7 linked regions of the Oryctolagus cuniculus genome follow. The protein of the gene in region 6 interacts with the protein of the main gene of each other region in a biochemical or structural test. Links are inferred from orthologs where the notes say so. Each region holds a gene or a part of one and is shown on either strand. Other genes may lie near its edges. The genes, in order: MAGI2, CSNK2A2, NHERF2, PRDX1, MAGI3, PTEN and SLC25A3.

The links.
Region 1: the proteins of PTEN (region 6) and MAGI2 form a complex in vitro, tested with the Homo sapiens proteins (2 studies listed by BioGRID and IntAct, with this or other methods). The link is inferred for Oryctolagus cuniculus from reciprocal best matches to the Homo sapiens genes PTEN and MAGI2.
Region 2: the proteins of PTEN (region 6) and CSNK2A2 form a complex in vitro, tested with the Homo sapiens proteins (2 studies listed by BioGRID, with this or other methods). The link is inferred for Oryctolagus cuniculus from reciprocal best matches to the Homo sapiens genes PTEN and CSNK2A2.
Region 3: the proteins of PTEN (region 6) and NHERF2 form a complex in vitro, tested with the Homo sapiens proteins (2 studies listed by BioGRID and IntAct, with this or other methods). The link is inferred for Oryctolagus cuniculus from reciprocal best matches to the Homo sapiens genes PTEN and NHERF2.
Region 4: the proteins of PTEN (region 6) and PRDX1 form a complex in vitro, tested with the Homo sapiens proteins (2 studies listed by BioGRID and IntAct). The link is inferred for Oryctolagus cuniculus from reciprocal best matches to the Homo sapiens genes PTEN and PRDX1.
Region 5: the proteins of PTEN (region 6) and MAGI3 form a complex in vitro, tested with the Homo sapiens proteins (2 studies listed by BioGRID and IntAct, with this or other methods). The link is inferred for Oryctolagus cuniculus from reciprocal best matches to the Homo sapiens genes PTEN and MAGI3.
Region 7: the proteins of PTEN (region 6) and SLC25A3 form a complex in vitro, tested with the Homo sapiens proteins (2 studies listed by BioGRID). The link is inferred for Oryctolagus cuniculus from reciprocal best matches to the Homo sapiens genes PTEN and SLC25A3.

What each region holds. Positions count from the first base shown.
Region 1 is NC_091434.1:144,051,635-144,055,886, forward strand, and holds the start of MAGI2 (membrane-associated guanylate kinase, WW and PDZ domain-containing protein 2), read right to left. Parts: upstream 2,801-4,252; 5' UTR 2,326-2,800; coding exon 2,025-2,325; intron 9-2,024; exon of another isoform or gene 1-8. UniProt on the Homo sapiens protein: Seems to act as a scaffold molecule at synaptic junctions by assembling neurotransmitter receptors and cell adhesion proteins. Plays a role in nerve growth factor (NGF)-induced recruitment of RAPGEF2 to late endosomes and neurite outgrowth.
Region 2 is NC_091449.1:41,552,430-41,556,664, forward strand, and holds the start of CSNK2A2 (casein kinase II subunit alpha'), read right to left. Parts: upstream 2,801-4,235; 5' UTR 2,655-2,800; coding exon 2,551-2,654; intron 1,797-2,550; coding exon 1,685-1,796; intron 1-1,684.
Region 3 is NC_091450.1:33,196,704-33,200,841, reverse strand, and holds the start of NHERF2 (Na(+)/H(+) exchange regulatory cofactor NHE-RF2), read left to right. Parts: upstream 1-1,338; 5' UTR 1,339-1,388; coding exon 1,389-1,601; intron 1,602-3,288; coding exon 3,289-3,489; intron 3,490-4,138.
Region 4 is NC_091438.1:127,373,074-127,376,573, reverse strand, and holds part of PRDX1 (peroxiredoxin-1), read right to left. Parts: intron 1,006-3,500; coding exon 852-1,005; intron 561-851; coding exon 438-560; intron 330-437; coding exon 199-329; intron 1-198. UniProt on the Homo sapiens protein: Thiol-specific peroxidase that catalyzes the reduction of hydrogen peroxide and organic hydroperoxides to water and alcohols, respectively.
Region 5 is NC_091438.1:56,692,869-56,696,368, reverse strand, and holds part of MAGI3 (membrane-associated guanylate kinase, WW and PDZ domain-containing protein 3), read left to right. Parts: intron 1-1,610; coding exon 1,611-1,713; intron 1,714-2,863; coding exon 2,864-2,990; intron 2,991-3,319; exon of another isoform or gene 3,320-3,500.
Region 6 is NC_091446.1:42,726,683-42,730,182, forward strand, and holds part of PTEN (phosphatidylinositol 3,4,5-trisphosphate 3-phosphatase and dual-specificity protein phosphatase PTEN), read right to left. Parts: intron 1,823-3,500; coding exon 1,598-1,822; intron 1-1,597. UniProt on the Homo sapiens protein: Dual-specificity protein phosphatase, dephosphorylating tyrosine-, serine- and threonine-phosphorylated proteins.
Region 7 is NC_091442.1:101,540,601-101,544,618, forward strand, and holds the end of SLC25A3 (solute carrier family 25 member 3), read left to right. Parts: intron 1-783; coding exon 784-963; intron 964-1,500; coding exon 1,501-1,682; intron 1,683-2,012; exon of another isoform or gene 2,013-2,258; intron 2,259-2,325; coding exon 2,326-2,498; intron 2,499-2,971; coding exon 2,972-3,082; intron 3,083-3,176; coding exon 3,177-3,337; 3' UTR 3,338-3,518; downstream 3,519-4,018. UniProt on the Homo sapiens protein: Inorganic ion transporter that transports phosphate or copper ions across the mitochondrial inner membrane into the matrix compartment. Mediates proton-coupled symport of phosphate ions necessary for mitochondrial oxidative phosphorylation of ADP to ATP.

The sequences.
Region 1 (4,252 bases), on a different chromosome or scaffold from region 6:
GTTTTTTTTTGTCAATAGTGATTCAAGGGGTGAATCAGGTTCCCGTGGAGTCTCTGTGAACATAATTTCAAGAACCTATCACCAATTAACCAGTGAAACCTGGAACTGAGCGGTAACACAGAACGTAAAGATTTTCACTTAAATATATTACTACCTACGTATGTATTTCCTGAGTTATAGAAGTAATAGTATTCCAAATAAAATACAGAAGTTGAGAGAGTATCTTAGGCCAAATCATGGAGGATTTTAATGCTATCTAGCTCATGTGCCCATAAACGGTCATTTTGGCAACCGCAATAATGGGAGCCTCAACTTACGGTACTGCTCAGATTTCTGGAAGGTCCTAACAGAAAACGGATCCTTTAATGAATGCAAAGATAAAGATGCTCCATCTTTTAAATGTTTCCCTGTTTTCGTCTTAGTTTTGTCCTGGGAACTATTACAGGATAGCCAGAATTTCCTTTCTTACCTGGTATCTTTCCAATATTTAATAACTGCTTTCATACCCTTATTTTTCCATGTTGTCTTTCCCCTGAATTTCATAGAATATATGATACCAAATAATTCCCTTATTTGCGTATTCTTCAGCGTCAGGCAGTCATCGTGATGACTTAAAATCAATGTTTCCCTTAGCCTCCGTTCTACTAATACTCAAGAATCCCCACTGTCATTGCCTTGTGGGGCAATTAACACTTCAGAAACTTTGCCGGACTTCTTTTTCTCTTGTTTACCTTTAAACAAGTGTTTTTGCAGAACCCTTTTCTAGCTAGGAACATCCCCTTAATAGTGTTTCTCTGTAGTTGATCATGCCAGGGGATTAAATGGTCGTTGAAAACGCAGGCAATAGCAGGCTTGATTCCACCTCTGAGGGTCAAACAACATCAGGTGGACAGCCACCCTCCAGACTGACACGAGAGCGCTCCCCTACACACACACACACGCTGCCCTGGAAACGTCCACTGAAGCTGGGAAAAAGTGTGCAACCGCGCGAGGAAAACAGAGATCCACTTTATTCTAGCTCAAACTGCCCTCCAGCCAAACTTGCATCGCAGTCTTTCCTCCCTCAGGACCACAATTTTCTTGCGAGACACGAGAGAGTTACTGAACAGAGTTCTGCAAGCATCCACACACGACACAGCCTTCCGCGGAAGCCCATCAGAGTCAGCCTGGAGCTGAAGGCGCCCGAGCTGCAACCAGCGGCATCCCCATCCCACTGCTCCCCCTCAGAAACACGCCCCCTCCAATCCCGCGGGCAGGGGACTCCCACCCCGCCAGGGCAGCCCCCAGCACGGCGCGCTCCAGGCAGCAGCCCCGCGCTCGCCCGGGGCTCCCCGAGCGGCGCCCGCTTCCGGAGCCTCCTCCCGGCGGCCGCCTGCCGGCCGAGGGTGCGCGGTGGGGTTAGTCAGTGCGCACGTGACGCGCGCGGTGCCCACATGACGCCACCGGGGCGGGGGAGGGGGCCCGGAGGGTGAGGCAGGGAAAAAGTTACAGAAGATCCGTCAAAGCGCCCCAAGCCATGCGTCCCTTCCCTGCATCGCCAGCCAGTGGCACGGGGATCCCCCGGGGGACAGTGGTAGGGGGAGACCTCGGCGTCTCCAGGCCCGCGCGCCCCACCGCCCTCTGCTCCTCAGAGCCCCGCTGGGGATGCCGCTGCACCCTCCAGTTGCCTCTTCCTCTTTGCCCCTCTCCTTCCCTCCTCCTCCTCCTCCTCTCCTTCCTTTCTCCCATCCCCAGATCTCTTCATCCACTGCGGGCGATGCCACTGACGCACATTCAATTGGCCTCAGGAGGTCAGACCAGGCCAGGCACCTTCTGCAGCCGGGGGTCTCAGTACCCAAACAAAGTTGCACTTCACCTCGCAAGCCGCACTAACCCCTCCGCGCAGCCTCCCGGAGGACCTCGGCGGACCCCACCCCAGCGGCGCGCCACACACCCCCTTCCTAGGCGCGCCCACCCTGCCCTTCGCCCCGCCGCCCCCCAGCCGTCCCGCCGGCGGCGCGGCACGAGCCGGCCGCGGCGCTCACCTTGCTTGACACACTTGAGCCGGAGGGGGTCCTTGCAGTGCTTGATCACGGCCAGCACGTCCCTGATGGTGAGCCCCGCCACGGGGGTCTCGTTCACCTCCAGCAGCAGCTCCTCCGACACCAGCTTGCTGCCGCTCTCATAGGCCACCTTGCCGGGCTTCACCTCGCCCAGGTAGGGAAACTGTCCGTTCTCGGCGCCCCCCTTCAGCTCGAAGCCCAGCTGGCCCTCCGGGTTCCTGCCAATGACACTCTCGTGGACTTTGCTAGTCCAGTGGCTTTTCTTTTTCAAGCTTTTGGACATGGCAATGGGCTGGGTCGCCTCAGTTCCAGGGGCTAAGGGGCTCCTTTGGAGGGTTGAGGAGAGGGGCTGATAGGGGCGCGAACAGGGATGGAGGCACGGGAGGGTGGGGGGGGCACGGGGGTGAGGAGAGCAGACTTCGCCTTCCTCCCAGCTCCGCTCGGCGCTTTGCCTCTTCTTGGGATGGAGTGTGGACGAGAAACGGGGGGGAGGATGAGAGAGGGACGGCGGGGCAGAGGTGGGAGAGCGAGGGTGAGGTGGTGCTGTCCCTTGAATGACACTCAAGGCTGTGGCCCCGCAGCAGAGGAAGCTGTGGCGGCGGCGGCGGCGGCGGCGGCCGGAGCAAACCGAGCGGCGCTGGGAGCCGGCGCGTGGGGGTGGGGCAGAAGGGTCGGGAGCCGGGGGCCACTCCTGCGTGGTGCGCGGGGCGCGCGCGCCGGCTGTGTTGTTAGCGGATATCCATGGCAGCCGCGGCGGCGGGGCCCGCGCGGGAGCGCGCGTGTGTGTGCGCGCGCGCGCGTGTGCGTGTGCTTGTGTGTGTTGTACTGTAAGGGCTGAGGGGAGACGGCAGCAAGGCCCAGGAGGAGGGGCGCTTCGCCGCTGTCGCGCTCGCTCGCTCCCTCCCTCGGCAGCTTGACCCGGTAGTGAAGGCCGAGAGAGGGAGAGAGAGAGAGAGTCTGGGTCTCCCTGGCAGCCTGCGGGAGGAGGCGGGAGCCGGGAAGGAGGGGAGCCGAGGCCCGCTAGGAGGAGGCCGGCGCGGACCTAGCTCGGGGCTCTGTGGCAGCCCCCGGGCCGCGCTCGGCCGCCGCTGAGAGAGCTCGCGGACCCGCGCGGCCGACGCGTCCGTGAGGAAGTGCCGGGACGCGGCTCGTGGTGGCCGAGGAGAGGGGAAGGAAGGCCTGGGAGCTCCGCGCTGCTAATCTGGGACTCTTGGACTCTGGGCTTTCACAGCCACATAGTCCGTCGCGGAGCCCGAGCAGGGCAGAATCAGGGAGACGGCGGCTGCTGGGCCGGACCTGCGGGCGCAAGGCGAAGCAGCTTCACGTCCCCAGGGCAGCGTTTAGGCGCGGGGGCCGGGCTTGTCCGCTGAAACGCGGTGCTGGGGACCCCAGGGTTACAAGGGCTTGACTTTCCCGCTTAGCAGCGACGGAAAGCGAGGGGCTGCTGGGCTGGTGCTGCAGGAGTGGAAAGGTGAATCTGGGACCTGCGGCGCAGGGTGGGTAAGGACATACCAGTAGGACTGGTACTTGGGCAGAAACCTTAAGATGACCTGGCCCGAGAAGCCAATGCTACCGAGAAAGGAGAGCAAGCGCCGAGGCGGGGCTAGTAGTGGCAGAATCAGGGCGAGCCCTGGGCTGGTTGGGCTCCATCCGGAGCTCTCCTTGCCTTGAAGTTTGCAGCCAAGAGGAGAGGTGAGGGCCAGGGGGGCCCCAGGATGCAGGTGCGCTGCTGATGTTCGTGTGCGCCCTCATTTCGCGCTAGACATTAGGAGGATCTTTTTTCTTAATTCCTGTAACTGGTAAATGAATTTCAATTTGCTTAACTTTCAAATGAGATGTTTCAGACACACACAAAAGTCGCACACCCACTCATGTCTTTAAAGCAGAGTCTGAAAAGCATTGGGCTGTGAAGGTTCTTGATGTCTGAGATGAAGGAAATGTGGGAGGCAGGCAGTTCAATTTCAAAAATAAAAAAAGGTTCTGTCGACCCAAACAGAAAGACCAGGTTTGAATCCCTCCTCTGCTACTTAGTAGAAGTGTGAACTTAACTAAACCAATTGACCTTTCTAAGCCTCCGTTTCTTTTATTTGGTAAATCAGGTTAAAAATACTAATCTGAGAAGGGTGTGTTGAGGTGAAGTCAGGTAAAACATGCACGGTGCTTGCCAGCAAAGGTGGGCAGGGTTCAGAATAGAAATTTCCTTTCTCTTT
Region 2 (4,235 bases), on a different chromosome or scaffold from region 6:
ACACCAGAGGGGCCTGCGGAGCTCATTCCAGAACACTGGAACTTACTCTGGGCGCAACATGAAGATCCCGCAATCCAGCGCCGAAGAAAGCTGAGAGGGAAAAGCAGGGAGCAGCAGTGCTGGTGGTGAGCTGGCTGAGTTTCTTTGTGCCTGGGCCTCTCCTTTGTAAAAACCACCTGTGGCAGTCTTCATATTGAGTTCCCTAAAACATCCCAGCACGCTTCAGAGAACAGGAAAAACTCTCTAGTCACCAGGAAGTGCTGTGCAAGGATGACCCAGGAGCAACGCGATGCTCTCCTGGACAGACAGGCATTCACACACACACCTGAACGCTGCGCCGTTCAAAGAGGACACAGGAAATGGCACTTACTCTAACAATGCTGCTGTTGCACCAAAGTTTAGACATTTTTCTGGAACTGCCTCAGAGTCAGCACTCATTCTTCCAGACAGACAGCTGGGGAATACGGCTATTTCTAATTCCAACTTCAGCTCTGCTTCAAGTCAAAGCAGCCTGCAGTAAAGCATTTTGCTTATGTACACAGAGGAATTACATGGCCTCCCCAGGTGACTGCCTTGAAGGAACACCATTTCTTCACATATTTATGCTTGTTGGGGTGGGGGGAGGCCCTGGGACTTCACTGGTGGCTCATATTCAGGGGAGGGGGCGCCAGTCTGCAAATCCCTAACACCCGTCCCTCACTTCATGTGCCCAGCGTCTGACGGCACAGCGGCCTCTGCCGCTTTCTCTCTACCAGAATCCTGCTCCTCCATCACCGGCTAGGACAGCACTGAGCGAGGCTGCTGGGCACGGTTCTGAGAGGCGGCTCCCAGAAAGCCTGAGCCCGGCCTGAGAGGACAGGGCCTCCCCGCACAGCCTGACATGCACAGGCAGCTTCTGAGCCCCACAGCCCCCGCCACAGACCCTCTCCAAACACACGTTCAGGGATCTGGCGATAATGAAGACCCATGACAGCTTCTAAGAACAACTTTGCAGGACACCCAGTAAAACATTATTAAAGCCACACAGTTACCTGAAGCCAACTCTTCAGGCTCATTACGTCTTCACTCAAGAGATAACAGAAGGCCTATCATCAAACTTAAGATTGCGAAAGCAGACATCAGACAGTTTTGTTCCAACAGCTTGAGTGATTAAAAGTGCCTTCTAACTCCAGTTTTACTAGCTGATAAGCAGCTCCAGGGCTCCCAGCACTCCCTGCGCCCCTCAGCTGTCCCACCTGAAACTTCACTGTCAGAGGAGAAACAAGTGGTTATCACCCCGAGGAGTTTCCTTCCCCTTGGCTCCAATTTTCTCCAACTTTCTTTGTGGACTAACAAACACAGCGCTCAAAGAGCCCTCGGATCCATGGAATCTCCATGAAAAGGCTTTTCTTCCCTCTGAATATTTATTTATTTTGTAACAAATGGGGCCCTTTTGGGATTTTTGCTTTGGGAACCTCTAATTTACATTTTAGAACAAGGGTGTTCCTGATCCGTTCTGCTTAGATTTAAGGCCGGTCTGCGTGTTTTCTTAAGTCCAAGGAAAACGGGGTGGGATCCGGGCGTCCTGGACAGAAGAGACATAACGCAAGAGCCGGCACAGCTCGTTCTAGAAACGAGGCTCGGGTAACTCACGTCCTTTTGGCCTGTGGGGGAAAAAGTTACAAACCACTTATAGGAGACTCACCTTCAGAATTTTTACAACCACTCTCTCATTGTTGGTGATGTTAATGGCCTCAAATACTTCGCTATACTTTCCCCGACCAAGTTTTCGAACCAGCTGGTAATCATCTTGATTACTGTGAGAGGCAAAAGACACACATAAATGCTGGGCCTTGGGGTCCGCCGAGCCTATGCCCACGATACGCCCCGGCCGGCCACTTCCACGAACCAAGCGCTTGGAAGTGTCTATAATCCATGCTGCAACTCAGTCCCTATATGAAAGCTACAACACACACCAGGCTCCTGCTGCTCTGCAGGGCTCCCAACCTAACTGGTCCCTTGTAACTTGGGGGTAGACGCTCTGAGTCCATCATCCATCTCGCAGACCCTGGGAGCACTCCGCCCTGCCCGCGGTTCCACAGCACCTGCCCCCTATTTCACACCCCGAAGGTAGCCAGCGCCAGCTCTGAGAATCTGCACATCTTTCGAAAAAATCCCCCCCACCCCGCCTCGTGTCAGAAAACTAAAAAAGCAGCGCATTTTCATAGAAGACAGCTGTTGACTCCCCACCCCGAGAGAAACCCCCAGCCTGAGGGGCGGCTGCTGCCTCCCTTCCGCGCTAGGCCCTGGTCCCCCCCCCCCCCCGCCGGAGGGAAGGGGCAAGAGGGGTGCACAAAGCTGGGGGCGGGGGAGGAACGGCCGCGGGTGAGGGAAGAGGAAGAGGAGGACATGTGCGAGGTGGGGGCCTCTGCCGCCCAGCCCAGCCCTGCCCCGGCGAGCGGCCTGCGGGAGGCAGATCGCGGGGGCCGAGTGCGGTTTGCGCCGGGGGGCGGCCCGGCGGGGGTGGGGGTGAGAGGCCCCGGCGGGGGGCGGCGGCGGCGGCGGCTTTACCCCCAGCTCGGGACGTGAGCCTCGTAGTCCCAGTAATCGCGGCTCCTCAGGCTGTTCACTTCGGCGTAGACCCGGGCCCTGCTGCCCGCGGCCGGGCCGGGCATGGCGGGCGGGACCGGGGGGCGCCGCGGGGCGCAGAGGGCGGCGGCGGCGGCGCGGCGGGGGGCGCGGGGCGGCGGGCGAAGGAGGCGGCGGGCCGCGGGGCGCCGGAGGAGGAGGAGGAGCGCGGCGGCGGGCGGCCGCGCCAGGCCGGGCCCGCGGGGGCGGGCGGGCTGGGGGCGCGGGGGGCGCCGGCCGAGCCGGCCCGGCCCTGGAGCAGCCGGCGGGGCGGCGGGGCGGGCGGCGCTCGCGCTCCGCGGCGGCCTCCGCTCGGCTCGCGGCCCCCAGGCGGCGGCGGCGGCTGCGGCGACGGCGGCGGCGACGGCACCGGCAGCGGCAGCCACCGGCCGGGAAAGGGGCAGCGGCGAAGAAGGAGGAGGAGGAGGAGGAGGCGGAGGAAACCCGGAAAAGGGGCCGCGCTCACTAGGAGCGGCCGCCGCCCAGCCCGGGGCCGCCCAGGCTCACAGCGCCCCCTGCAGCGTGGGGGGACCCGCGGGGCGGTGCCGGCCCCGCCCCCCGCCCCGGCGCGCCGGTCGGGCTCTCCGCATCCTGGGGCTGGCCGGGTCTCTCCCGCAGGGCCACCCCGCCTGCCGTCGGCTGCCCTTGAGCCCTTGAGGACTGACCCCGAGACGCCCACCCCAAGACCGTCACCTCTGGTCATCCAGACCTTACCCACCCCAAGACCTCCCGCAGTACCCGGTCTTGATAGCCCTGTTACCCAACCGCTCTTCCCCAGTGACGCACTCTTCAACCGCAGAACCTCCCCCACCTCAAGATGTCCCCTCCCCTCGTGTGTGTGTGTGTGTGTGTGTGTGTGTGTGTGTGTGTGTGTGTTTTAATCCCTTTTCCCCGCTGTGGACCCTGCTCTGTCACTCGCAGACTCCTTGTCCTGAGACCCCATGCTCCTTCATCCCAAGTCTTCCCCACAAAACCCCTCTCCTACACCGTCCCCCACGTTCTCTTCCAGAGCCTTCTCTGAACGTCCACTTCGGTCACTTGGTTAAGCTGGGGTGGCCAGTCTGGCCTGTTTTGTGCCTTCTAGCCCTGAACTCTCTTCTCTCCTGCATCTTCTGGGTCTTCCTTGTGGCTGGCTCCCCCTTCTGCCCCACTCTTAGCGGCCCCTCACCCAGCCAGCCAGCTCTGACTCCCATCCTTTTTCATGCTGCTTCCTGGATAAGGCCCTTGATGGAGTTCAGCATTGTAGATTACCCTGCCGCCTGGGCATCCCGCATGAACTCTGGTTGGGGTCCTGGCTGCCTCTCTCTCTCTCTCTCTCTCTCTCTCTCTCTCTCTCTCCCCCTCCTTCCCTCCATCTCCTCCTGTCTGTGACTCTGCCTTTCAGATAAACTAAATCTTTAAGAAAAAAAGACCCAGGGCAAGCATTGCAGTGTGGAAGGTTAAGCCACCACCTGTAACACTGGCTTCTCGTTTGGGCACCAGTTTGAGTCCCAGCTACTCCACTTCCAATCCAGTTCCTTGCTAATGAGCCTGGGAAAGCAGCAGAAGGTGGCCCCCAAGTCACTGGGCCCCTGGAATGCACATGGGAGACCTGGCTTCGCCTAGGCCAGCCCTGACCTTTATGGCCA
Region 3 (4,138 bases), on a different chromosome or scaffold from region 6:
CACACCCAGGCTCATTTCTAACTTCCCACCTAACACTTCCTCACCCCTCAAACAATGTGGCCACAAAGCTACAGCCTGGCAGGTACTGGGCGCTGCGGGGTGGGGGCACACAGTGGGCGCAGGGTCCAGGGTGCCAGCTGCAGCTGGACAGGCGGGTGGTCAGCCCAAGGCACCGACCCTCAAGACCTGCAGAGGTGAGGGTGGGGGCACCCACGATGCCACGAGCTCCTGGAGGTGGGCACCCAGGGGGCCACGGTGTGGGTGGGGGCTGGAGAGCCCAGGCCAAGAGAACTGGAGACGGGAGAGCAAGGGGTGAGGACTGGGGCCCACCTGGGAACTGTCTGGACTGCTGCGCCCCACCCCTGGGGCAGGCATGGGCAGGGGTCCCTGCTGGGCTGGGGCGGGGCAGGCCAGGCCGCCTCAGGCCTCAGCCGTGAAGGCTGCAGGCTTGGGCCGCACAGCCCTGGGCCTGGGGGAGGGGTGCTTCCCTCTGTGCCAGTAAAACTGCACCTGGAGAGGCCTGGCCAGGCAAAGTGCTGCTGGCGGTTGTCAGCCGCAGGGCAGGGGAGGCGTGGCAGAGGCAGGGGGCAGGTGCCAGAGACCTCGGCTCAGGTGTGCCGGTGCTGACCACAGAGTACAGAGGCCAAAGTCTCGGGGCAGGAGGCCAGCCCCCGACCGACCCTGCAGCCTGGGACTCCAGGGTCTGCCGGGGCCTGGGGTAGGCCTCAGCCAAGTGCGAGAATGGAGGGCCGACCTCTAGGGAGCCCACGGGCACACAAAGCCCACCCTGTCACTACGGCCTCCAGGGGCCTCCAGGCAGGTCGTGGGGCTCTGTGCAGGGCAGCCCTGGCTGCGGGAGGGTCCCGGGGGTGAGGGCAGTGGCTGGGGAGCAGGTGAACCGTGCGGGTGGGCAAAGGACCGCCCAGGGAGGGCAGGCAGGGCCTCACTCCGGGGCCTCCCTGGGGGTTCTGCCTGGGGCCACTGTCTCCCACCTGGCCCCCAGCTCAGGAGCCGGCTCTAGGCCCTGCACAGGAAGCCAGAAGCGCTGGCACCAACGTGCTGCCAGACACAGGGGTTCCCCGGCCCTGAAGCCTCCCCTCCAGAGCCCCTCGGGCAGCTGGGGCCGGGAGGCAGGGCCAGGCCAGCGCGTCGTGGACCCGGGGCGGGGGCGGCCGGGCGGCGGGGGCGGGGAAGGGGCGGGCGCGGGGGCGGTGCCCCAGCCCGAGCCGGAGCCCGAGCCGGAGCCCGAGCCCGAGCCCGAGGCGACTGGAGCCGAGCGAGCGCAACGCCGAGGCGGCCGCCCGTCCCCCGCGCCGCCCCCGCGCCCCGGCCTGCGGGCCCCGTAGCGCCGTGGCCAGCCCGCGGCCGGCCGGTGGTCAGCGGGCGCCATGGCCGCGCCGGAGCCGTTGCGGCCGCGCCTGTGCCGCCTGGTGCGTGGCGAGCAGGGCTACGGCTTCCACCTGCATGGCGAGAAGGGCCGCCGTGGGCAGTTCATCCGGCGCGTGGAGCCCGGCTCCCCCGCCGAGGCGGCCGCGCTGCGCGCGGGGGACCGCCTGGTCGAGGTGAACGGCGTCAACGTGGAAGGCGAGACGCACCACCAGGTGGGTGCCGCGCTGCGCCCCGGCCGGCTGGGCGCTGCCTGCGGGTGGCGGGCCCCGCACCTCCCCCGCGACGCTCAGCCCCGCACCGCAGCGCGGGGGAAGGCGTTCTGGCAGGGAGGGGCCGCACTGCGGCTCCAAGCCGGCCCTCGGCCCCCTCCCCCCGCCTGGCTCCAGCCTGTGTGTCGGTGAACCCGGGTGCTTCCTGAGCCTGTGGGACTGTGTGACCGCGCAAGGCCTCCGGGGTCCTGCCCGTGTGGGTGCCAGCAGCCAGGCCCCTGCGCGTCTGGGCGGTGTAGACCGGCCAGTGTGTCTGCAGCCGGGGTGCCTGGATCCGGTGCGAGTTGGCAGTCCCTGGTGGCACATTCCATAGCTGCTGCGACCCTCACCCTCCTCGGGGCGCTGTGGCCACTGCCCCCTGCTCCTGCAGCTGGAGAGGGTAGGGCCTCTTCCCTTGCAGGCTGTAACCCCTGGGATGTCCGTCTCCCGCTGGCCAGGGACTCACCTCAGATCCTGGCCAGAGTCCAGCCTCCCTCCGGACCGGCTGCTCCGGCTGCTCCGTGTCCCTCACAGCACCGCTGAGCCTGTGGCCTGTCTACGTGGCCAGTACTGGGCCTAGGGGTTAGCAGACAGCTGAGCCACTGGCCGGGCTTCCCGGGGTCCCCTAGCCTCTGTCTTCCAGCGAGACTGGAAGCTGGGTAGAGCGGTGCTGTGTGCTGAAGTGCAGTGGGGGTCAGGGCCACAGGTGGGGGAGGCAGGGCTGGCAGAGCTGGCACCCCGCCTCTGTGTGACAGCCATGGCCATCCTCGCTCCAGCTGCACCTGCTGTTCCGGGCCCCTGGGCACTTGTCTGAGAACTTCACACCCAGCCCCAGCCCCAGGAGGTGCGGCCGGGACTCTGCTTTACAAATATGGAAACTGAGGCTTGGAGCTTCAGTTTGGGTCACAAGTCGGGGAGCAGGGCCGGGCGAGGACGGGCCTGGCTCGCTCCCCCTGTTGCTTGACAGCATCTGGGGAGCTGGGCAGCAGGTGGGAGCCTTCTGCTCCGCTCTTCCACAGGCCGAGGGCCATAGTGGGCACTGCCCTCTCCCTGCTGGCACACGCTGGCACCCTGTGTGCTCCCAGACACACAGCGCCTGGAACGCCGCACCTGTGCCACGGGCAGACCTGCCCCTCTCCCCGCTGTCCTCCTTACCCGACCGTGTGCGGGGGCCTGAGCGGGAACCCAGCTCTCAGCTGTCCGCAGGCCCAGCAGGAGTGGGTCTGTGGTCTGCAGGCAGACGGTCTGTGTCTAGGGCAGGTTGAGATTCCCGTGAGAAAGTTGAAAGCAAGCGAACATGCACAGCCAAACTAACACCCGACAGCACCTCCCGCCTCCAACCTGGGCTGGAAGGCAGACTTGGAAACAGATGGTGCGCACACACGAGCGTGTGCACACGCACGGGCAGACCGAGCCCCTGAAGCTCATTCAGTGCCGTCTTGGTCACCTCCACCCTGGGCTGAGAGCAGCTCAGGGCTGGCTGTGTCAGGGAGCCGGGGGCGGGGGGCGGAGCCGGCGGGGCCAGCCGCCCACCCCTGGCAGCCTGGCTGCCTGTCTGCCTGCCAGCCCAGGCCATCCCGGAGTGGTGCCACCGTCCACGTGCTGCCCGGGCTGCCGGCCGCTGACCTGCCCCCGTCCCTGCCTGCCCCAGGTGGTGCAGAGGATCAAGGCTGTCGAAGGGGAGACCCGGCTGCTGGTAGTGGACAAGGAGACGGACGAGGAGCTGCGCCGGCGGCAGCTCACCTGCACCGAGGACATGGCCCAGCGAGGGCTCCCGCCCGCCCACGACCCCTGGGAGCCAAAGCCGGACTGGGCACGTGCAGGCAGCCTGAGCTCTGACGCTGGCCAGAAGGTACGGCAGCCTCTGCCCGTGCGGCCACCCTGGCCTCTTGACAAGTCTTCACCCCGCCCCGGCTGCCTTCTGGGTCCCTCTTCTCTCAGTCCGAGTTCCTAACTGGGGGTAGACAGGACAGCTCGGCCCCCTTCCCGGCTCGCTCTCTGTCCCTGCCCTTAGCCTGGCCCAGGGCGACGAGGCCCTTCCTGCCCGGTGGGCGGAGTCACCGGACCCTGGGAAGGAGCGAGCCTGGCCCCTCAGCAGCGTCTGCGTCTCTGTCTGTCTGTCTGGTCTGAGTGTAGGGTGAAGCCCTCGGAGAGAGCTGGCCCCAGAAGCTGCTGTGCGCAGCCTGGTTCAGGAAGCTTCTAGGGCGAGCCCACCCTTCCCCCAGTCTTCAGCAAAGACCCCCCAGCCGCAGGAGGGGTGGGGACCTGGAAGTAACCCTGCGGGGCAAGCATGTGAGCCCTGGGGAAGAGCCGTCTCCTACCTCTTTGGTTGACCACATCCCTTGGGGGGTTCCGCCTAGGGGTTCCCCAGATTCCGCTTTGAGAACCCCCGGCCTGGGGGCAGTGGAGGTATTGGGCCTAACGTGTGGGGTGGGCGGGGGCCTTCACGTGGACCTTTTTCCTTTCCCACCCTCTCCCACCACAGCTGGCTGCGCTGTGAG
Region 4 (3,500 bases), on a different chromosome or scaffold from region 6:
GGACAGAAATGGAGAATAAGCAGTTTGAACAAAAAAGCCTTTATCTTCCCCAAGCTTTTCCATTGCTCCCCATCCCCATAATCCACTGTAATCCAGATATTTCAATTTGTTAGAGGCATAATCACCCTTTCCTTCTTACAGTGTTTAGTAGTCTTTGCTCCTATCATCTTTCCCACCCTATTACCACTCTGTGCTTACCTTCCCCATGTTTGTCAGTAAACTGGAAGGCCTGAACTAGTCTCAGAGTCTCATCCACAGAGCGGCCAACAGGGAGGTCGTTTACAGTGATCTGTCGAAGGATACCCTTATCGTCGATGATAAAGAGGCCCCTGGAAGAATGAGAGACGCAACAAAAGGTTTACAATAAATAAGAGAATAAATGGCTTTCAGCCAACTGGATAATGCTGATCACCCGCCCCCCAGGAAGGTACACAAACCTGAATGAGATGCCTTCATCAGCCTTTAAGACCCCATAATCCTGGGCAATGGTGCGCTTAGGGTCTGATATCAAGGGAATGTTCATGGGTCCCAGTCCTCCTTGTTTCTTGGGTGTGTTGATCCTACAAAGGCACACGTAAGGTATGACCATTCATGCAAACTTTTGCATAGTAAGATTAACTCTACTTATTTCTTCCTCTTTCCCATATTCCTAATCTAACTTCCTAAAAAACTTCAAATATTTTGTAGCAGTAAAGTGAATGGCTGAGAACATTTAAGGTTAGTCACCGGGTGTACTCAGCTGCTTCTCCTCTGCTGCCAGGTAATAAAAGAGCAACAAAGGAAGGCAGAACCATTGCAGTCCTTCCATGAAGAGCTGGAAGTCAGTGAACTCTACATGCCAATATACATACCAAGCCAGGTGACAGAAGTGAGAATCCACGGAAGCACCAATCACTTGGCAGTTGAGTTTCTTGAATTCTTCTGCCCTATCACTGAAAGCAATGATCTCCGTAGGGCACACAAAGGTGAAATCAAGAGGGTAAAAGAAGAACACAATATATTTTCCTGGGGAAGGAAAGGAAGTCCTAGATTAGCCTTTTAAGCACTCTTCCTTGATTCAGAGAGAATAAAGCAGACATTTTCCTATGGAAAAAGGCTTTTTAAGTTGATGAAAGACAATAATTGTTAAAACACTAAGATGCTTGGGGTAGGTGTCGTGGCACAGCAGGTAAAGCTTCCACCTCCAATGCCAACACCCCACATAGCTGCTGTTTCAAGTCTCAGCTGCTCCACTTCCAATCCAGCTCCCTGCTAATGTGCCTGGGGAATCAGCAGAAGATGGTAGTCCCTGGGCTCCTGTCACCCATGTGAGAGACCCAGAAGAAGCTCCTGGCCCAGCTCTAGCCACTGGGGAGTGAACCAGCAGATGGAAGATTTCTGTTTCTCCCTCTCTGTATGTAACTCTTTCAAATAAATACTTTTTAAAATATGAAAAAATAAAACAAGATGCTCAATACAGATGTCTCTCAGCAGCTCTTCTAGAACTGCTGCAGCAGGAGGACCCAAGTAAAAAATGCTCCTTCCAGTTCCACACCTTATTCTGTCTCCTCCATGTTCTCACAGCTACCAACTACAATATAAACACTAATTTTGATCTTCTCTGAGTGGTTAAAATTAACACCAAATTTTCCAAAGAAAATCAAGGATACAATTATCAGCACTGGGTGGCCTAACTCCAGTGCTGACAAACAGTGCCAAGCGAATTGCTGGTGTCTCCTCTACTGCAAGGTGGTTATAAGAACCCAGGCCCTCTACACTTCTCTGCAATGGATAAACTACAGTAATGGGATGGTTAACTTTAAATGATTACACGAATCACAAGAAATGTCTTCTTAAAAAACCTAATAGAGGGGCCAATGTTGTGGCACACTGGGTTGAGCTACAGCCTGCAGCACTGGCATCCTGTATGTGTGCCAGTTCAGGTCCTAGCTGCTCTGCTTCTGGTCCTGCTCTCTGCTGGTGCGCTGGAGAGGACAGCAGAGGGTGGCCCAGGGTACTTGGGCCCCTGCACCCAAGTGGGAGACCCAGGAGAGACTACTGGCTCCTGGCTTCAGCCTGGCCCACCCCTGGCCATTGCAGCCATTTGGGGAGTGAGCCAGCACTCCCCAAAATTCTCCCTCTAATTCTGCCTTTCAAATAAATCAATCTTAAAAAATATTTCCTAAGAAGGAAGTTCCAAAAGTGGAGTGGTACAGTGGATCACTTGCCCTCTCACTTGAGAAATTCATAAATCCTATCAGAGGACTGAAGACTGCGAGGCAGATGCCAGCTCAGATACTTGAGTTCCTGCTACACCCAGGAGATGCAGATGAAGCTCCTGGCTCCTGGCTTCAGTCTGGCCCAGCCTTTGCTGTTGTGGTTATTTGGGGAGTGAACCAGAGATATATCTCTCTTTTATTTGAAAGGCAGAGTTACAGAGAGAAGAGGTATCTTCCATCCACTGGTTCACTCTCCAAATGGTCCCAACAGCTGAAGCTGGGCCAGACCAAAGCCAACAGCTTTTTCCAGGTCTCCCAAGTGGGTGCAAGGGCCCAACTATTTGGGCCATCTTCCACTGCTTTCCCAGGCCCATTAGCAGGGAGCTGGATGGAAACTAAAGCAGTTGGGAATCAAACCAGCACCCAGATGGGTTAAGAGTTCCACAGGCTTAACTCACTACACCACAGCACTAGGCCCAGATTCGTCTCTCTTGATTTCTGTCATTCTGCCTTCTAAATAAATCAATCTTAAAAAAAAAAAAAAAATGTTCCAAGAGCACTGATAGGGAACAGGGCTTCTAGCTCCAATTTTACTGAAAGTCACTCAGATTACAATTTAAGCAGATATTCCAACTGGCCAGGCAGCCTCTCACTGCCTAATGGGCTGAGCTACTGGAACAATTTCAAATATTCAGTTATTTCCAGGTGGCAGCAAAGTCTGAAAAGTCTTAACAAGCAGCCCTTGACATTCACTCTGGAAAAAGAGTAGAAACTGACTCAGCTAAACACCTTCTCTAGGGCTTTGTATTAACAAGCACTTTGACGCCTCAGCAGGTCAAGCCCTAGGGAACTGGAGAGCAGCTCCTGCTACTTGTCTGCACCCTTAGCAAGGTCCCCTCCCTATGGTGCTATTCACCTGGGTCAGAAGCTGCTGACCCCTGCACAGAAAACCCCATTACGTGCTCTCACCCCAACAACCAAGTATGATGTTCAAGGGACCTCATCAAATGTTCTACCCAAAATCCAACTCTAGGAACTGATGACACTACCCTACTAAGAAGGGCACTCCTGACATGTGCATTTCAGGATTCTGTTCTAAGGTATCTACATACATCCTCAATCGCCCCAGGAGACCCAGCTACTCTGGGAATTCAAGGCAAGGCAATCCTCCAGAGAACTTGCCAAGAGTCTGCAAGAAACTGACAGAAGGAGGAGTTGTTCCAACTTAATTCTTCTCTAGGGCAAAATAAGCAAGGGAAGATGTCCTCTGCCTAACAATATGTTATTTTTTTTAAATACTTA
Region 5 (3,500 bases), on a different chromosome or scaffold from region 6:
ACACAAACCAGTGCCCACATGGGATGCCAGCATCACAGGCAATGGCTTTACCCACTATGCCACAGCACCGGCCCCAAACACTTTTCTTTACAAGTTATCCAGCCTCAGGTATTTTGTTATAGTAATAGAAAATGAACGAATCCAACCATATGCTTTATTAGTATTAATTTTTCAGTGCTTAATTCTCATTCATTCTAAAAGTTTTCAATGCTTCTCTTAGATTTTGAAGTACTTGAGCCTGCCATGCCTGTGCCAAGTATTCTTCTAGGTGCCAACATAGATTTCCTACTTTTAAACTATATTTGAATTTCTAACATAAACCCTGCATGATTGTGAATTATTCTTTTGCTTTGTTGTTCACTTTGTTAGCAGTTCAGCCATTTATTCAACAGATACTTAGTGCCTACTATCTGCTGGGTACTGATCTGGGTATAGGGGCAAACAAAACACAAAAACCCCTGCCTTCAGGATGCTTACTTTTTTATATTTTTATTTTTTAACTTTTATTTAATAAATATAAATTTCCAAAGTACAGCTTTTGGATTATAGCGGCTTTTCCCCCCATAACCTCCCTCCCACCCACAACCATCCCATCTCCCTCTCCCTCTCCCATCCCATTCACATCAAGATTCATTTTCAATTATCTTTATATACAGAAGATCAATTTAGTATATACTAAGTAAAGATTTCAACTGTTTGCATCCACGCAGAAACACAAAGTATAAAGTACTGTTTGAGTACTAGTTATACTGTTAATTCACATAGTACAACACATTAAGGACAGAGATCCTACATGGGGAGTAAGTGCACAGTGACTCCTGTTGTTGATTTAACAATTGACACTCCAATTTATGGCATCAGTAATCACCTGAGGCTCTTGTCATGAGTTGCCAAGGCTATGGAGGCCTTTTGAGTTCACCAACTCCACTCTTATTTAGACAAGGTCATAGTCAAAGTAGAAGTTTTCTCCTCCCTTCAGAGAAAGGTACTTGCTTCTTTGATGGCCCGTTCTTTCTGCTGAGATCTCACAGAGATCTTTCATTTAGGTTTTGTGTGTGTGTGTGTGTGTGTGTGTGTGTGTTTTTGCCGGAGTGTCTTGGCTTTCCATGCCTGAAATACTCTCATGGGCTTTTTAGCTGGACCCGAATGCGTTAAGGGCTGATTCTGAGGCCAGAGTGCTGTTTAGGACATCTGCCATTCTATGAGGCAGACCAACACTCTTGGAACCTAGCTCTGTTATCTAGAATGGATCACCAATTATCACTGGTGTGCTCTGGGAAGTCACAGAGCAGGCTGCATAATGGGTCATGGACTCTGTCTCCTAGATAAATGTAATTGAGTGTGTTCATTTCTAATTTCTATATTGTATGGATGAGCCAAACAAAAATGAAAGTGGGAAGTAAGAATATGATTTCTGTTCTTGTGACTTGTAAGCATTAATCAAAAGCCCAGGTGGGAAAGATGTTAATGTTCCAGTTCCGGACAGCTGCCAGCCATGCTGCTCTCCCTGAAGAGTCGGCTCACAGCTGCTTGTCTCATTTTGATAGATCCTGTTGGCCGCATGCTTTTCTGTATCCGTTCTTACTTCTACTGTTTTTTCATTTGAACAGAACATCACGGTCCACCATCAGGAACAAACTCAGCCCGGCAGAGCCCAGCACTGCAACACAGGCCCATGGGACAGTCACAGGCCAACCACACACCTGGGGACAGGTGAGGTTGTTCTTAGATTTTCGCTCCTGATCTCCCCAATCTTCATAACCCACTGCATCCCCAACTCCCATGCTGTTAATGTGAAAGCCAGCTGTTGAGGTCAACATAAGAACTCTGGCAGGTTCCACCCTCAAATACTTTCACTATTCCCTTTCCCCCAGTGTCTCCATCCCTCTCCTCAACCCCTTCCCAGGCGCGGTGCGATTATCCTGTCATGAGAGTTGCACGAAGGTGGAAAGAAGTGACAGCAGCCTCAGCTTCTGCTGCTCTTGTTCATTATGGTTTTGATGGGAAAACTCCAGGGGCTGGCGCTGTGGTGCAGCGGGTTAACGCCCTGGCCTGAAGCGCCGGCATCCCATATGAGCGCCAGTTCAAGACCCAGCTGCTGCTCTTCCAATCCAGCTCTCTGCTATGGCCTGGGAAGGCAGTGGAAGATGGCACAAGTCTTTGGGCCCCTGCACCTGCGTGGGAGACCCAGAAGAAGCTCCTGGCTCCTGATCGGTGCAGCTCCGGCCGTTGCGGCCAATTGGGGAGTGAACCAGCGGATGGAAAACCTCTCTCTCTCTCTCTCTCTCTCTCTCTCTCTCTCTCTCCTCTGCCTCTCCTCTCTGTCTGTGTAACTCTGACTTTCAAGTAAATAAATAAATCTTAAAAAAAAAAAAAGTTCCTCCAAAAAAAAAAAAAAAAAAAAGATTGAAAACTCAAGATCTGCAGATCTGCTTGGGTTGTCGTCTCAGACTGCCTGAGCAGAGCAGAGCAGAGCATCTTTCTTTCCTGTTTTGTTCAAACACAGCCATGGAACAAAAACTAGATTTCCAGAAACTCAGCAACTGCAGGAAAGCTGTTTTTCACTGTGACAAGGTCAGCTTCTCTGCCCTCTGTTCAGCTACTGAGTGCAGTTTTCCTTGGTGGGAAACCGCACTGAGATGCCCTTGAGAAAGACAGTGCTGGCGTCAGACGTGGGCTGGGTTGGGAGTTAAAGGCCGGGCTTCTCAAGCAGCCCTGGTTCCGGACACAGTGAGCCAATAGTGATTTGTCAGAGGAGAACGGCAACGTTTAGCTTTTCAAAGACAAGAAATTAACCTGCCTTTACTTTTACAATGATTCTCATTTTCTCACTTACAAGAGTGACTTGACTTCTCTCTTGTAGAAGTGCCCTGGAAGGTGAAGTGGGAAAAGATGTCTCCACTCCCTATAGACATTCCTGGTCTGACCACAAGCACCTCACCCCACCTGATACCGCCGTGATCTCCGTCGTGGGCAGTCGGCACAATCAGGTGAGCCAGGATCCCCCAAATGCAGACCAAACTTTTGAGTTGCTGTGTTAGTGCTATGGGTGAAAGCTTAGTGCAAATCAGTTCAGAAATTTGTTCCAAAAATAGTGCTTGTCTACCTGGCTGTGTATTCACATTCAGTTATCTTCCATGAAGGATTGTAAAGAGAAAAGTTGACTCTTCCAGTAGAAGAAATTTGAGCCCTCAATTAAGTCCTTAGAAGTAAATAGTATTTTAACTAAACAAAATAGGAGTCACTTTTTTTTTTTTTTTTTTCAGGAAAATGTCAAAATCTAGTTAGAGGAAGCACCTTCTAAATCTCTGTTTCCTGAGTGTTCCATTGCACATTGACCAACTAGTAGGGAAGATGTGTAAATCTTCAGATTCATTAGGGGCATTGACAAAAACAACCCTCAAACCCAAACTAATCTTCCTTCCTCACGATGCAGGATGCATACGAGAGTATGAATTATTTCTTGCAGCTATAAAAGTAGCCTTTCTTCAAAATGTAAA
Region 6 (3,500 bases):
TCCTCATCTGTCCATATTTTATGGGAGTAGAGCCAATGTTTAAAGATAAAAATTTAGACCACACCAGTTCTGTGCTGAAAAATATTTCGATATTTTCACACATGGACTGGTTTTCCTGTCTACTCTCCTTTAGCCACTGACTTTTCATTTCTCAAATAAACTAAGCTACTCCTATCTCAAGGTTTTTGCATCTTCTCTTCTCTCTTTTCCCTGATACCGGTATATCTCATTCATCTGAATTAGGGCTTCCACTTAAATGTCAACAGTTTGGTGAGATCTTCTCTAATCAGGCTAGCCAAAACAAATAAAACCAATAAAAGTACTCTCTATCTCATCTCTATTTTTCACAGCATTTACCATGATATATATGACAATACACTGGTTTACTAAAAATAGTTTTTGTAATCACAAATATAAAACCTCTTGAGGTATTAAAACAGAAAACTACAAAACCAAAGCAAAAAAGACATTTTAAAAGTTAATGGGGGCCGACACCGCAGCTCACTAGGCTAAACCTCCGCCTTGCGGCGCCAGCACACCGGGTTCTAGTCCCGGTCGGGATGCCGGATTCTATCCCGGTTGCCCCTCTTCCAGGCCAGCTCTCTGCTGTGGCCCGGGAGTACAGTGGAGGATGGCCCAAGTACTTGGGCCCTGCACTCCATGGGAGACCAGGATAAGTACCTGGCTCCTGCCATCGGCAGCGCGGTGCGCTGGCCGCGGCGGCCATTGGAGGGTGAACCAACGGCAAAAGGAAGACCTTTCCCTCTCTCTCTCTCTCTCACTGTCCACTCTGCCTGTAAAAAAAAAATAAATAAATAAAATAAAAATAGCCAAAGGAAAGAAAAAAATGGTGAACTATTATTTGGGAATGTTTACAAGTCAGATTTTTTAATCTGAAGAATTCACACCTATAAATAGAAGTACACACACTCAAAGACACACATACATCACATACAGACAAAAATGAAACAAATCAATTAATTCTAACACATAATATGAGGAACCAGAGAGGAATCTGAGAAAGAAGTAGCAGGGGAGGACAATGAGAGAAGGCCTATATGAAGGTAAGGGAAAAGACTAGGGTGGAAAGGTACAGGAAGAAGGAAAAGAACTGGTAAGACCAGAGGCAGAAACAGTATTTGCAAGAACTGAAGCCACACCACTATGACTAAATCCCAGAGAGCATAAAAGAATATGGATAGAGGTAACAAAGGAGGCAGAACCACACTAAATTATGCAAGTACCTAGTACGTCTTTTAAAAGTGTAAAAAAGAGTGAAAGAAGCAAGCCTATTTGTGAGCAGCAGTGAACAAATTCCCCCATTTCTACTTCATAACCCATTCACTTAACTCCCCTCTCACACCTCTGTCCCAGATTTCATCAAACAACAGGAGAAGGAAACACGCAGCTCCTTTGACTCTTTCTGTATCCTGATATTTCATTAGAAACATTCAGGTTATTGTTTCATAAACATTGCTTCTAAACAATACATCATTTAATTTGAAAATCAGTCAGCCAAGTTCTTCATCTGCACACCTGGAATAAAACAGGCACGTATGCATGTAACCACTGACTCCACAAAGGGTTATTAACTGACCTTAAAATTTGGAGAAAAGTATCGGTTTGCCTTGTCTTTATTTGCTTTATCAAGATCATTTTTTGTTAAAGTAAGTACTAGATATTCTTTGTCGTTATCTGCACGTTCTATACTGCAAATACTATCAATTTCTTGATCACAAAGACTTCCATTTTCTACTTTTTCTGAGGTTTCCTCTGGTCCTGGTATAAAGAACGTATTTACCCAAAAGTGAAACATTTTGTCCTAAAAAAAAGGAAAGAAATGTCTAATTTTAAATTTTTGTTGGAGAAAAACATGTCACCTATATTCAATATCTGCCCCAAGAAGTCAACAAAATTATGCATCGTTTGATATTCTTCATAAAGGTAAACAAAAACACTACTACTATACGCCAACCTGCAGGTACCTGTTACATTGATTCATTTGTGTTTCTTTTACTCAAACTGTAGATAATAGCTAAGAACGACCTTAAAGTCTTATGTAAAATAACTTCTATCTACTCTAATACTAGCTTTAGAAATGTGTACAGTTACGTGTAGGCATAAACAAAAATCAGGTATGATTTAATTTTCTTTATGATTTAATCAGCTATCTAATCCAAGATTTATTTTAACAGAAGTTCCTGGAAATTAAGTGCAATTGTCTGATTAAACAGCAGATTTATTTCACAGTAATACAAACACAGTAACTTCAGTTTCTTACATGACAATGTATGCCTGAAAACCTTCAGAATAAAAGACGCCGGGGTGAGGGAATCTTTTGATCACTTTTTCTTCTAAAATGACTATTCTAAAAAAAATCACTTCTTGGAAATAATATGAAGGGACAGGCACTGTGGTGTAGCAAGTAAAGCCACCACCTGCAGTGCTGGCATCCCGTATGGGCGCTGGTTCAAGTCCCAGCTGCTCCACTTCCAATCCAGCTCTTTGCTATGGCCTGGGAAAGCAGTGGAAGATGGCCCAAGTCCTTGGGCCCCTGTACCCACATTGGAGGAGGAAGCTCCAGGGTCCTGGCTTTGGATGGGCCCAGCGTCAGCCATTGCAGCCATTTGGGGAGTGATGGAAGACCTATCTCTCTCTCTGCCTCTTCCTTTCAAATAAAGTAAATAAATCTTTTTTTGTCCTGGTTGCTCCTCTTCCAGGACAGCTCTCTGCTGTAGCCCGGGAGGGCAGTGGAGGATGGCCCAAGTGCTTGGGCCCCGCACCCGTATGGGAGACCAGGAGGGAGCACCTGTGTTCTGGCTTTGGATCGGTGCAACGTGCCTGCCGTAGCAGCCACTTGGGGGTGAACCAACGGAAGGAAGACCTTTCTCTCTCACTGTCTAACTCTGCCTGTCAAAAAAAAAAAAATTATTTTATTTATTTATTTATTTGAAAGGCAGAGTTGCAGAGTGAAAGGTCTTCTATCCACCAGTTCAGTCCCATATGGCCACAACTGCACAGATCCAAAGTCAGGAGCCAGGAGCTTCCTCTGGGTCTTCTTCGCAGGTGCAGGAGTCCAAGGACTTGGGCCATCTTCCACTGCTTTCCCAGGCCATGGCAGAGAGGTGAATCGGAAGTGGAGAAGCCAGGACTTGAACCAGAGCCCATATGAGATGCCAACACTGCAGGGGGCGGTTTTACCCGCTATGCCATGGTGCTGGCCCCCTTAGATCTGCTTTAAATGTTCACACTTAATATTTTAAACAAGATAGTCTATTTTACAATGAGCTCTTGAACTTTTCTAAAGAATATAAAGTACAAACTGCTCTTTCTAAATGCATATTAAAATAAACTCCATTTTTTCACTCCTTATTACTTCCTATTCATACTTATTTCTCTCTAATCAAAAAACTAAATCTTGGGGAACTAAACATACAATAACCCATTTCCAAGAAATATAAACCAAAATGGAGAAAAGGAGTCTGTGTCTCTACACAAAA
Region 7 (4,018 bases), on a different chromosome or scaffold from region 6:
GCCTTATAAATTTGTATTTAGTTTGTCTAATGTTCACAAAACATTAATTCTAACGGATTACCATATACTGGGGATACAGACGTATCTTTTTATAGATTTTAAAATGTAGGAGTTGGTGATAAATCTCTTTAGTTTTGTTATATATTTTTTATTTATTCACTTATTTTTTTATTTATTTTTTATTTTATTTTATTTATTTATTTTTTTTTGACAGGCAGAGTGGACAGTGAGAGAGAGAGACAGAGAGAAAGGTCTTCCTTTGCCGTTGGTTCACCCTCCAATGGCCGCCGTAGCCAGCGCGCTGCGGCCAGCGCACCGCGCTGATCCGATGGCAGGAGCCAGGAGCCAAGTGCTTTTCCTGGTCTCCCATGGGGTGCAGGGCCCAAGCACCTGGGCCATCCTCCACTGCACTCCCTGGCCACAGCAGAGGGCTGGCCTGGAAGAGGGGCAACCGGGACAGAATCTGGCGCCCCAACCGGGACTAGAACCCGGTGTGCCGGCGCCGCTAGGCGGAGGATTAGCCTAGTGAGCCGTGGCGCCGGCCTCAGTTTTGTTATATATTTTTGAGGGAATTTTACCCTCTTTATCCCTCCAAGACCTAGTTTGATTCAGAGCTAGACTTTAATAAATACTTATATATTTTTTAAGCTATTAGATATTCAGTGAATTCATGTTGACCTTTTGTGTAGTTACTGAAATTTTATTTTAAAAGAAAAATTGGTAGTAATGTAATTGTGTATGAAAAGTACAGCTAATTGATTTGTTTTCTTATTTTAAATAAAGGTGGACCCTCAGAAGTACAAGGGCATATTTAATGGATTCTCAGTTACACTTAAAGAGGATGGTGTTCGTGGTTTGGCTAAAGGATGGGCTCCGACTTTCATTGGCTACTCTATGCAGGGGCTCTGCAAGTTTGGCTTTTATGAAGTCTTCAAAGTCCTGTACAGCAACATGCTTGGAGAGGTATGTGATTTAACTTTGAAATTGAAAGTCCTGGGTGTTTTTAAAAGTTAAATATCAAAAAGGATCCTAGTTACTTTTGTGTGACTCACCATGTTTTACAACTGGAGAAATGGTCCCAGGAAGAATGGGCAACATGCCTGAAATCATAAGACTGCTGTCAGAGATAGGGTGAGAAACAATATTTCACTAAATTTCAGTGCCTTTTGTATTACACTTTGTCACTTGCCTAAGTTGAGTTTTGAGTTTGATTTTTTTTTTTCCTTAAAAGAAGGTCCTAGGTATTCATTTGTTTTGATCCAGTGCCAATTACACGTGTACTTGACACCTAGATAGATGTTCAAAAAAAGTTCACATTGTTGTATAGTTAAGTTAATGAAACTGAAAACAACATCTAATGTAATGTGTGTTATCCATGGACTGTGTGGTAAGAAATACTGTTAAAATGGCTGACAACCTAGTGGTTTCCTAGAATGGTTAATTAAAGTTAAATTAAACAGATGCAACAATTCATATGTCTCCTTATGTTTTGTATTTTAGGAGAATGCCTATCTGTGGCGCACATCACTATATTTGGCTGCCTCTGCTAGTGCTGAATTCTTTGCTGACATTGCCCTGGCTCCAATGGAAGCTACTAAGGTTCGAATTCAAACCCAGCCAGGTTATGCCAACACATTGAGGGATGCAGCTCCCAAAATGTATAAGGAAGAAGGTCTAAAAGCGTAAGTAAGCACTTCACTAAATTTATAGTTTTAAAAATACTTTTTGGGGGTAACTTTTTTTTTTTTTTTTTTTGGCAGTAAGCTCACCAGAGTGTTTTGTAGGTCTTTTTAAAGTTATGTTATTTAACTTCTAGTTACCTGTAGGTGGCCCATAAATTCTAGGGGTAAGATAAGTTAATACAAGGTTCATGTCCTGAATTAACTTTTTTTCCTCTCAAGTAAGAACCATTTGTTACTCTGCAAATGATTTTGATATTTGACCTAAACATGTACTTTTTTAATTTGGGGGGAGGACTTGTTAAAATTCTTGCAATCTAGCTATAAGGCCACAACATGCTTCCTTAGATCCACCTTTGTGGATGAATCTTAAACTGAGTTCTACTTGTAAACTTTTTGTTTCTTGTAGTTCCAGTTAAAGAAACATCCAGCAACTTTTTTGGTTGTATAGTCAAAGGTGCTTGAGTCATTGGCATGTGAGATAAATATACCTGCATGTTAGTCTAATGTTCTGATAGAAATGACATGCAGTAATGCTGTCAGTTTTCACTATCAGGACTAGGCTGGTGTGCGGACACTTCTGTTAATGATGAAACTCGGTGCTATATGAATATTTGCAACCATGTAACTAAGTTTCATTACCTAGATTCTACAAGGGCGTTGCTCCTCTCTGGATGAGACAGATACCATACACCATGATGAAGTTTGCCTGCTTTGAACGTACTGTTGAAGCATTGTACAAGTTTGTGGTTCCTAAGCCCCGAAGTGAATGTTCAAAGCCAGAACAGCTGGTTGTAACGTTTGTGGCAGGTTACATAGGTATGAATTCTTTAGAACACACTTGTCTGTAGAATTATGGGCAGATAATTTCCATGTTGACCTCTTTGAGGAAAAAATATTCCAAAGGTTATAAAGTCAGTTGATTTCCTGTAACATTTTATGTACCTTCTGGATTAAGAAGTACTTTCTAATTATTTCCTGTAAGGATTGCTTTCAGGTTTGCCTGATAATTTTGTGATAATGTCATTATTAGGCGTGGGAATGTGTTTCTTTTACTGTAGCATTTTTTGTTTTGTTTAGCTTATTAAGAATACATTTTTAATGCAGGAAGAAGTGTTGATTAAAATGTCATATTAAAAACTTAAAGGTTGTTTTTACATAGCATAGACTGCTTTATAACCTTGCCAATCTTTAAATGATTCTATAACTAAAGGAAAGAAGTCATGAAAAAAAGACAGTTGTCTGTAGTGTGAAATTTTTTAACCCTGTATTGAATCATTTTTTCCCCCCAGCTGGAGTCTTCTGTGCAATTGTTTCTCACCCTGCTGATTCTGTGGTATCTGTGTTAAATAAAGAGAAAGGTAGTAGTGCGTCTCAGGTTCTCCAGAGACTTGGATTTAAAGGTAGGATTATTATTATTATTTTTTTAATTTCCTGTGAAGAACATTGGTTTTGGGTATATGGCATGCCTACATTCATATTTCCTGTTTGATCCAGGTGTATGGAAGGGACTCTTTGCCCGTATCATCATGATTGGTACTCTGACTGCACTACAGTGGTTCATCTATGACTCTGTGAAGGTCTACTTCAGACTCCCTCGCCCCCCTCCACCTGAGATGCCAGAGTCTCTGAAGAAGAAGCTTGGGTTGACTCAGTAGATAGATCGAAGCAAATGTGGACTGAATCTGCTTGTTGATCAGTGTTGAAAAAAGTGCAAAAGGAACTTTTATATATTTGACAGTGTAGGATATTGTCTATTCCTGATAAAATTACTGTAGTACCCTTGCTTAAAGGCAAGAGTTTCAAACTTACTGTTGAAATAAACCTATCTGTTCATGATTTGTCTGTGACGTGATATTTTAAAAACTAGTTTTTAGGGGCTGGTGCCATGGCACAGAGTTGGTTAAGCCATCATCTTCAATGCCAGCGTCCCATATGGGTGCCAGTTCATGTTCTGACTGCTCCACTTCCAATCCACTCCCTGCTAATGCTCCTGGGAAGGCAGCAGCAGATGACCCAAGTCCTTGGGCCCCTACACCCCCGTGGGAGACCCAGAAGAAGCTCTTGGCTTTGACCTGTCCCAGCCCCAGCTGTTGTCATTTTGGAAGTGAACCAGCAGATGGAAGACTCTGACTTTGCAAAGTAAATAAAAAAACCAAACACTGGTTTTTATTAAAAGATTTAATCCTAAAACAGGATTGAAAGAACCCAAGTGTAAAAATTCAAGGTACAAATTCAAGCTAACCATCAGTGGTTGAATATTTCAATCCCTATTCACAAATTATCATGTCTCAAGTTTTGTCTCTTTGTACATTTAGGAATCATGTCCTAAAGTCCTA